Schizosaccharomyces pombe: one gene and its partner. The protein of the gene in region 1 interacts with the protein of each later gene in a biochemical or structural test. Each region holds a gene or a part of one and is shown on either strand. Other genes may lie near its edges.

Region 1 (4,926 bases):
TGCTTCTTCTGTTGTTGACTCGGAATCAAGCGTTTGTCTTAGCTTTTCTTCGTCATATGCAAGAACATCTTCAGCAGTAATTTGTATTGCCGTAGGATTTCTTCGTAACATGTTGGAGATACTAACAAACGTAGTACACAAATGTGGTCTGTTATTAAATTTATATTCAGCTTGATTGAATTTTATTTACATTCAAGGATGAAAAAGCAAGAGAGGAAGAAAGAAACTCACCTTAGTTGCAATGCAATGATAAAACACGCTGTTTTAGGTGTTGTTTTGGTAGACGATACACAAGTTAACCCATTTATTTGGATCGTAGCGTAAAGTATTTTCTAAAAGCGAGAGATTGAGCTACCGCGTTATAGTGTTTTATACTTGTTTTACCATAAATACGCATAAAGCGAGAGGTAAACTACTCCTTTTTTAACAAATTTGCCTGGTTAAACAATATACTTTACCAAGTAAGATAAGTAAAGTTGTTTTTTCCGAATTCAAAGATCACAACACATTCTTTTGAATTAGATTTTGGTGCAAATTTTGGCATGCTGACTGAGGTTCAAAAGCAAATACTGTTTCATTTGGAATCAGTGTTGAATAAATGCGAATTCCTGTAAGTTCATCCCTAGTTTATGACATTATCATTTTTTTTAATATGATGAATTCTAATATGTGTTAAATACAGTAAAATGAATTTACAAAAGGCAATTGTTTTGAGCATTGAACTTCAACAAGTTCAGGATGAGCAGCTGCGCAAGATTAACGCTACAGAATAAGAGGTTTTGTAAGGTTGCTCTCTAATTAAGGCTTTACTTTTCATTCATGAAATATCGCATATTCATTTCCATCGCTTCTTTAGATTGCATTCATTATGCATAATACGCAGAGTTACTTACTATTAATAAAGCTGTTAGGTACCTAAAGAGGTAAAAACTCGTTTAAAGTATTAAAGAAAACTATAGAATTGGAACCTGTTTAGTAAGCCCGATAGCATTTAAAAATAAAAAAAACTCTAATTTGAGTAAGGGAAAGCAATAGACACAGACACTATGTAGACCAAGTGTCTAACGAGTAGGTACGGGGAAAAAGTAGTGGGAAGGCTCCGCCACGTGAAAGCAATATTATAGTAGGATGTACTTATGCAAGAACCGTTTCGAGGAATCGTGTGGGAGATGATAACGTTTGGGCAAGAAATATTAGCTTAAATTATCACCGACGTAAATGAAGAGGAATACTCAAGTCTAATAATAAGAAAAGAATAATAAAACATGAACCAGAATTAAAACTAGAATTGGATTTGGTTCATTTTTATGAAAATGAAGGGAACTAGTAATGAAAAGGCTGTCCGTAGAGATAATTGAGTTATAGTCCCTTCCCTCAGTTCTTATTTGAGTACTTGAAAGTACGGATGGGCCATAGCTTCTTGACAAGTTAAACGCTCCTATGCTAAGTTAGTAACTATACAGTATATACCACTTAAAAAAATAAGTGATTGTATAAGATCCTGTAAAAACCTTCAGGTTCGGTAACTTACTTGATGATCATAACGTAATAAACGATTTAACAGATCGATTGCTTCATCATTGGCAAGCGATCTGTTGTCACGGTTGACAAAAGAATACCAGTCCCGCTTGGGATACTGACCAAGAATATTATCGTATTGTCGGTCCAGCACAATCTGGTATTTTTGTACGTAAGCGAAAAGTTCATCAGTTCCCAGAACTTTGGCAATTTTAACTAGCTGATCATAATTGTCCCGCCCACGGAAAAAAGTATCTTTTTTAAATATCAAAGCAGCAAACATGACACCAAACGACCAAATATCCAAGGAGTAATCTAAAGTTTGGTTAGGAAAAAAGAAACGTAAATATATTTAACAAAAGTGGATGCAACTTACCATATTCTCGAAAATCTACTAACAGTTCTGGACCCTTAAAGTATCTACTGGCTACACGAACATTGTATTCCATGCCAGCATGATAAAACTCGGCCAGACCCCAATCAATTAGCCGTAACTTCCTTTTTTTGTGATCGATCATAACATTATGAGGCTTAACGTCACGATGCATTATACCACGAGAATGACAGAAATCCAAAGCTTTTAGCAACTCGTAAGAGTAATAACGAATATCATAATCAGAAAGAGTAGGGTACAATGTACGGAAATCAATATTGTCAACAAATTCAAAAATTAAAGATGGTGTTTTACTCTATAAAATATTAGTATCGACAAATACAATAGTTTGATGGATATCAAACGTTCAAAAGCCAGAGTCGTATAAACTCAATAGACGGAAAAGCACAAAATTTCTTCTCCTTCAAGTTTCAAGACGATTCAATACAAAAAGCTTTTTTTTTTTATTCTTACCTCTGGATCGCGGACAATGTCAAGCAGTGAGATAATGTTAGGACCTCCGGCCAAGTTCTGTAGAATCTTTATTTCACGCTTGATTTTCTTGTACTTTACAGGCTTTAGGACTTTGATGATGCATTTGCTGTTGTTCAAGACATTTAATCCTTCGAAAACTTCACTATATTTTCCTCTTCCTACTTTCCGAATAATTTCATAATTGTCCTGATATCCAAATACCTCCTGCATGTTCTCGTAGTCCCAGTATTCACGGGGCATCTCCTCATTAACATGAGCATCTAAATCTAATTAGTCATTTGTTATCCTTTTTTTATAAATTTGAACTTCACAATACGTACAAACCCGGGAAACTGAGACGACTGGAGCCGCTTCAGTCTGGTTCATTGTAAGTAGCACCTTTCAGCTTTCACGTTTTTTTTTCTTAGAGTGCTCCCTCTATGTTAATGCAAAATCCTTTATATGAAACGGAACCCAAAAAATTTGTTTAGCAAGCTAGCTGGTGAAGGGCAGGTCTTGTGTATGCAAGTGCAAAGAGAGTGCTTAGTGAAAATTAACAAAGTGTTTTAAGCTCCGTTACAAGCAATATAGCAATATAAACAAGTTAATGCGCTATATGGCTTAAGTTTATAAACCAAACAAGTGAAAATATAGTTATGATATTGTTTTCTAGTGAGAAGAAATGTAACAAAAAACTGATAAACGTTGCAATCAAAATCCGATCACAGAAGACGAAAATGAGTATACTAAAGCTTCTAATAAGGAATTTTTTTGAAATTATTCTTCCTTCATACGTTTTAGTCCGCATGCTTTGTAACAAAACTGAATGCAATTGCTAATGATCACTTTTTGTGTTCCTAAGACCAATTGATTTGAAGCTGAGCATATTCTTTCGTAAACGAGTATTGTAATAATATTATTATCGCCCCAATTAATAAATTATTTACAAAATGGAAAGGTAAATATTAGATGTCCAATTGACAACTTTAAGCTATCAACGATAAAACTTTCAGAAAATTGATCTTTTTGAATCTTTGTATTAATAATTTCATTCATCGTTTTAAAAAAATGGGACTCTCTGTCTTGACTGACCCAATTTTGATATTCGTCTTCATTTGTCAACGATGAAGCAAAGGATATGTGAAGTAAAAAGTCCTGGAAGGCGTTAAAATTGTCGCTTATTTGAACCTTTACTTACCTCTCTCAAATTCCTATTTGTAAACTCTTTCATACAGTCACTAGCATGACTTATTAAGTCTTTGTAGTTTTCGTCACTGAATTTACATTCGAAAGCTAGGAACATTCTTGTTTTTTCGTCATTAAATAGTAGACACATCTTTCCCAGTCGAAATTTTAAAGTTCTTTTTTAATATGTCAGTCTCAACAGTATGGATTATTTGTCCTGAGTATACCTGTAATTCAAATTGTTTGTATATTGTTCCCATTTGTGCACTAATTGGTTCTTAGTGGAATAATTTATGCGGTAGTTTTCAGATATGCTTAAATGTAATCTTCTTGGTACATTATGCTCAGAGCAAAGAAGCGATTGAAACCGACTTTGTGAATTCAAAAACTCACGAATGCCTTTTTTAACTTTCTTGCTCAAATCCACTATTGATAATTGTCAACTTTTTGTTAAATAAAAATTGATTTATTACCCTCCAAATATGTTTGAACAAACCACAATCCTTCAATATGCTTTTGTCCACGAATTCGACCCTCATGAAACTCAGGACTATCAAAAGTTTTTGGCTTTTCTAAGAATATGAGTTATCAAAACATTAAAACCTTCTTACTCTTATAAAGTTCGTGAAATGATTCTTGGAGCTTAGGGACTTTTAACATTCGGGGATTATCAGATATTGTCTCGTCATCGTCTTCTCCGGAGCTCGAACTCTCATAACATACTAAAGACATTTATTCTTCTATTTTTTTTTATTAATATAATAAAGATGGCTACTTTCTTTTCTCAAGGAATGGTGTAGAAATGGCCTGTAATAGTAATAGATATTCATGCAAAAATTTTTGTAATAGTTTGGTTATTAGTATGTATTCGAATAGACATAAGCTTTTGCTTAGAATCCCGATTTCATATGAACTGCAATAAACCTATCCTTTCACTCTTGAAGTCAGTGGTAGGTTTGTTCAGACTTGTACATATAAGTATGCTGTATTAGCGTGACAGACTAGCAGTAAATAATAGGAAATCGTGATCTTCAGGCTTTACACATAATCTTAATAATACAATAACACGCGGCTGGGAAATTGTAATTTTCAAACTATCGCTTAAAATTAAGAAGTGTTCATTGAGTAAACACTCGACGTTTAAGCCTACGATGAGTTTATGTATAATGATTGAAATTGTTGAGCAATTTTAAAATGCTCGGACTATAAAACAAACAAAAAGTTGAGCCTATGTAGAAGATAATGAAAGATAGAGTACAAAATAACGTAGAAACTTAAATCGTCAACTTCCCTTGAAAAAACTCAATCGCTTCCTCCACTGCAACGTCGATGGAAAGAGGTTTATCACCTACACCTTGGCAAGTATCACCTTTTCC
Region 2 (5,585 bases), 2.6 Mb from region 1:
TATTCTACTAAACTTTACGGTTGTTCTGAAACAGGTAAGATACCCTTGAATACTTGCACATTTACTAATTTGTAGTTGAAGCATGCTTTAGGCTTGCATACCTCAGTCGATAATTCACAGGAATTTATTTTACAGTTTTTGCGAACGACACTTTTATCCGTACCAACGTCCTCAATTGTTTCTATCTCAGCGGACCCAACAAGCTGGAATAATCTCAACGTTTTAATGAAGTATAATTTTATGTTTCAAAAGTTTAAACCTCGAGATTTTCATGCTCAAACAATTCAATCAGAAACTATGTTTATACCTCCTTGTTGGGACACTATCTCTAAAATACAGAGTGTCAATCATGAATTTAATATCGCCCTTTTTAAACAAACCGCTAAAAATTTTTACGATACTCTTGACATAAGTTTATTACTTGGTTTATTTGATAAGAGTATATCGATGTTGAACTGTCATTCCTCAAAAATATCGGATGGAGATATACCCTACAAATCGCACCAAGTTTTTTTGCAAGAACTACAGAACAAGTATAGCGAGATTAAAACGTATTCTTCAAACAAATTAAATAAATCCTCCATAAAATCAAGTTTGTGGAAGGACTTAATTCAATAATTGTAATTGGCCTAAAGACATTCATTATTATTACAAAATCATATTATTTAATTAAAATGCATTAATGAGTTTCTGTCAAAATTTCAACCTCATAAATAATATTTTTTTTCTTTTAAATCATGACCATAAAGAACTATTAAAGTCCGGCTAATCCAAATCGCTCTGGAACCAAAGGAGCTGAGTCATCCAGTAATTTTTCCAATGCGAGCGTTCTGAATTCTGAAAGTTTATTTTCAAATAGAATTAAAACAGCTGCTGAGAGTGACTTAACTTTCTCACCTTGATCAGGGCTTTCAAAAAGAAACTTAGTATACGCCTCAAAGAAGAGCAAATGCTTCCCAAACTCATTAGCTAAAGTACGCCCAGAAGATATTTCTAAGATAGCCAAAAAACTAAACAAAAGCCCTTCATTAACTTCTGGAGTGTCTGATCGAAGTCGGCAGACCTCATTTAAAACGTCAACATATTCCCGGAGCATTCTGTTTGCCCCTTCTATCTTTGAGGTAAAAGTTTCAAAAAAGAGAATACCCAATGTCTTAAGATAGTAGACTAAAAACAAAGGCTCAATAAAAGCCGTTTTCCTAGATGCCAGCATATAACCACTGGTGAGGAGCAGGAACAATGATTTATCTACCTTAAGCGATAATCGATTGGCCTTTGGGAGTGGCTTTTTCGACTCGATTTCCGACTGCTTTGAAATATACCGTGTCTGTAAGAATTTCGGTCCCTCCGCATAATCCTTGCATTCACTCATTACCGGAAAAACTAATTTCCTTTCTAATTCATCACTAATCTTTTCAATAGTGGGTGAATAAAACTGATCGTGTAAATTTCCTGGAAGTAACTGGCTGGGAAAAAGACGTTCATTATCATCATCGTTGAATTTGCTAGCAGCTAAAGAAATACAAGATAAGATAAGTATTTTTTGGCGCATTGAATAGTCACTAACAAATAAATTTGTACAAATAACAGGACCACATATATCTAAACAGGTTAACAGAAGTTCCACTATAGCAGTCATTTGCATTTCATCAAAGTTCATTAAGTCAAATCGATTTTGTAAGGAAATTAACGTTTGTAACAATTCATCTGCATGATCTCGTAATTCGGTTCCAAAAGCAGACTTTCGTTTTATTAACTTAGAAGCGTTTTCCAGTGCAACACGTTGTTTCTCAAAACTTTCTGTGTCTTTTAACATTTTGCACAAATCTTGTACGTACACAGGAGAATGCGTCTTGGATCTAGAGACAGTTGGATCGTCGTCCGTGTCCTCACTGTCAATATCAGGAAAATCGTAAGGCTCCAAGTCATCTCCCCTTATTAAGTCATCGTTTTTAGAAATCACTGGCTTCTCCAAGTGAGTTACATTCGTCTCTTCCTTTTCTATCGAAGTCTCTGCGATAACACTTTCGTCATTCAAAATTTCAATAGGCAAAAATTCATCCTTGAGTGAGCTCAACGATTTGAGAACTTTTGCTTTCGTAGTCTTCATTATTGGAACGTCAAAGGCTAACGGGTTACTTAAGCTGACACCCGAATATGTAGAGATTACTTCGGCCATTATCATTCCATGCATTCGAATATCATCATCTAGACTATCTAAACGGCAAGATATTGCATTGGAGAACATTAGGGATTTGGAAAGATTATTCAAATATTTTGCTTCAAGTTTCGGAATAAATAGTAATAAATATATTGTTAAGCTCTCTTGAGCTAGCAGCGTATAGCTCCTCAAAAATTGCGCATTTGACCATATATTAAACAGAGAGTCCACTGTTTTTTCTAGCTCCTTTTTATCAGATTCCTTATAAGATATACTCGAACAAACTACTTCTACCCTTTTAATTATTAAATTTGTAGGGACGCCCCAATAAAATTCAATTAATCGAAGGAAGTGAGTGGATGAAAAGTTCAGCCTTAATAATGTAGCCAATGAACCTGTTATACGATCATCTCTTGCGGTGGAATATGAAAAATTGGTGGGATATTTGGTATTATGTTCAAGAAGAAGTTGATTGAGAAACAACATTTGATCAGAGACCGTCAAATCTGCAAATAATTTTTGTAGCTGAACACAAAATTTTTGTGTTAATGGAATCAATGGGTTAATGAATGCCTTTAAATTGGATGAGTGTAATAAATAATGGAATAGCTTTGAATATATTTCTGGGGTTTTAACAGCAGGTTTAGATATAATGCAAGCCAATTTTGAAGATAAAACGCCAATGTAGTCGGCCATTGATGAAGCCTTCAAACGTTTTGAATCATCGTAAACCTTGAAGGTAAGCATTGCAGCAGACATTGAATTAGTAATTTTAAAGTTTCCCAAGAAAAAAATAAATTCAGTCCACAAAGATTGCTTTTGATGATCAGATAATACAGTAGATTCCCATATCAATTTACAGTTATCGTCAAGGTCTATACATTCAAATGCTTTTTCCAGTAGCTCAAGATAAACTGTAACAAGATGAATGTTTTGCAAATTAGCCTCTTGAACAAAATTATCTAGTCGAACACATAGCAGTTTTAAGCCCAAAAGAGTAGAAAAACATTTTGCAAGGAGAAAATCTATTTCTGAATTAATTTTCCCATTCCAGAATGTGGGCACTATCACACTAATTAACTCATGATATAATCTTAGATTGCAAGGAGAAGGAACACCTATATGCTGCAGTTCTTTAAGGATTTCTTTTAAACGCGGCTTTTGAATAGGTTTGGATAGTTCGCTAGCAAAGGATTTCATATCCTTGGAGTTGAAAAATAACCGAATTATTTTGGGGTGTTGAGAAGACAGTAACCTTCGGTGGATTAATTCACCGGTCAGCAATCAGCAATATGCAGGATTATAGGCTGCTTGGCTAAAACAACACCAAAACTCTTTACAAAGTATATAGTTATTTTTAATTTGTTGTCCATGTAAATTACTTTAAATTCTATTAATTGTTTTTCATTCTATAAAGGTAATTTGAACTCAATTCATATAGTTTTTTAAATTGTGCTCTTAAACTTCCTGAGAATGGTGTATGCAACAATTACATGGGTAGCATCGGGATATTCTGTGAAACCTGTAAAGCTCTTCGATGTATTATTTTCACGGACTTTTCACAGCCTGAAATTGAATAGGAACTTACAATTTACGTGACAGAAAAAGGATATTATGTATAATTTAACTTAAAGACATTTTGTGCTTATATGCAATAGTTGTAACAAAAGAATGGATAGTTATGCTTTCAAATTCGCTTTCTATAAGTGAAGTATCCTGTTGCTTTATAAGACTAGTTGCAATATTTCTATTTGCTTTTAAAAAGCAAGTAACTTTTAGTTTAAAACTGTTTTTGTGTACCTCCCAAATTAAATGTTAATGCTCCGCTAATCGGTAAGCTAATCCGTGAGAAAAAATGCATTAATTTTTCTTGTTTCGTTCAAGTCAACACATTGCAAATAAAGGTCACTAAATTTACAATTCAGGATTTTTAAATTGAAATATTAAACATAATACGTGGACGAGTGCAAAAAACTACCAGTTTATTTAAATAAATAAAAAAAAAATATCATAACATGTATTATCGTAATCTTTTCCTTAGACTGCTCTTCACACGATGTCTGAATAACCGTCAACAAAAAGCTATTTATAAAAATTTCAGAAACAGGTAGTCTCCTTCACAGCACTGCGAACGAAAACTCTAGGGAAGCAAAACAAACGGAGTTTATCTGCCTTGTTATATACTCGTTAAACGACAACTCAACACACACCACTATCCACCACCAACAACAAAATCCTTAATAAAAATGTCATCTCATAAACCCGTTCGTCCTAATGAAGCTCTTCACAAGGAGGCTTTGGAGGAGCTTGATGCTAAGATCAACGAGGCGAAAAAGCGTTTCGTAAGTAGTTTTAAATTCTTGAATATTGAAGGCTAAGCTTTTTTTTTTTTTCATAACTATGAAAGCTTCAAAAAATCACTTGTTTCTTATATAGTTTTCGCATCTTAACTAATCAACTAGAATGAGCATAAGGAGAAGCTTGGTGCCATTCGCGGTGGTGGTTCATTGCAGGAGAAGAATGCAGAACTTCGCGCTGAATTAGACAATATTCGCAATGCTCAAGCAGCTATCCGTTCTTCTAAGCAAACTCTCATCAACAAAGTCAAGGCTCAAGATGAACTTTTGAAAAAGAAGGTATGTTTTGCATTAATATATGTAAGCACTAAAGTTTTGTGTTGGAAAACTTTATGAGCTTGGTAAAGAAACAAAATGTTTACTGACATACTTTTAGGTTAAGGAGTTGACTGCCATGAAAAAAACTGTTCCTTTCAAGTCAGAAGTGGAGCTTGATAAACATGTTAAACAACTTCAAGCCGCCGTTGACTCAGGAACTTTAAAGATTGTTGATGAGAAGAAATACCTGCGTGAAATTTCTCAGTGCAATCGTACTAGAAAGAGCTTCGTTGAGTTGAACGCTCTTCAAACTAGTATTGATACGATTAGAAATGAACTTAACGAGCTTCGTGATCAACTTAATGATTCAGAATCAAAGAAGTTGAGTGACAAGTTCGTAGAAATCCGTTCTGAGCTTGATGAGGTTCGTAAGCAACAAGACGGTTACTATAAAGATCAGCGTAAGCTCATAGCAGAAAGAGATGATGAGAAGACTGCACTCGATGATCTATATAATCAACGAAGAGCTTTACAACGTGAGTACGATACCCAATTGCGCGCATTCCGTACTTATGAACGTGAACAACGTGCCAAAAGACAAGAACAGTTTCGTCTTGAGCGTGAAAATCGTGAGAAGGAGAAGAGAAGAATTGCTGCTCAACGCAAGTTAGAAGAGGCTAGTATTCCTGCCTTTACGGAAGAGATTCTTGCCTGTGAAAACTTATTAAAGGTGTTTCATGTTCCCGTCGAATCTTCTACTACAAATGCCGTTTCAACCGGAAATACTTCTAGTAAAATTTTGAAGCCAC

The links.
Region 2: of the proteins of cka1 (region 1) and tel2, one has a biochemical effect on the other in vitro, tested with the Schizosaccharomyces pombe proteins (one study listed by BioGRID).

Annotation. Positions count from the first base shown.
Region 1 is NC_003424.3:2,149,980-2,154,905, reverse strand, and holds cka1 (serine/threonine protein kinase Cka1), read right to left. Parts: upstream 2,870-4,926; 5' UTR 2,753-2,869; coding exon 2,707-2,752; exon of another isoform or gene 2,647-2,706; coding exon 2,366-2,646; exon of another isoform or gene 2,363-2,365; intron 2,208-2,362; coding exon 1,895-2,207; intron 1,834-1,894; coding exon 1,532-1,833; intron 1,439-1,531; coding exon 1,382-1,438; 3' UTR 683-1,381; downstream 1-682. Other genes in the region: hcn1 (anaphase-promoting complex TPR lobe accessory factor subunit Hcn1/Apc12), read right to left, coding at 1-111; 3'-5'-RNA exonuclease Mpn1, read right to left, coding at 3,305-3,520, 3,564-3,726, 3,778-3,976, 4,024-4,122, 4,162-4,282; alanine--tRNA (Ala) ligase Ala1, read right to left, coding at 4,825-4,926. UniProt on the Schizosaccharomyces pombe protein: Catalytic subunit of a constitutively active serine/threonine-protein kinase complex that phosphorylates a large number of substrates containing acidic residues C-terminal to the phosphorylated serine or threonine.
Region 2 is NC_003424.3:4,732,638-4,738,222, reverse strand, and holds tel2 (TTT co-chaperone complex LRR repeat subunit Tel2), read right to left. Parts: upstream 3,403-5,585; 5' UTR 3,362-3,402; coding exon 755-3,361; 3' UTR 625-754; downstream 1-624. Other genes in the region: dli1 (meiotic dynein intermediate light chain Dli1/Dil1), read left to right, coding at 1-34, 76-618; SPOM_SPAC458.02C (mRNP complex protein), read left to right, coding at 4,408-4,503, 4,624-4,797, 4,895-5,585. UniProt on the Schizosaccharomyces pombe protein: Component of the TORC1 and TORC2 complexes required for the regulation of the cellular respons to changes in available nutrients. Required for normal entry into S phase. Regulates activation of the DNA replication checkpoint.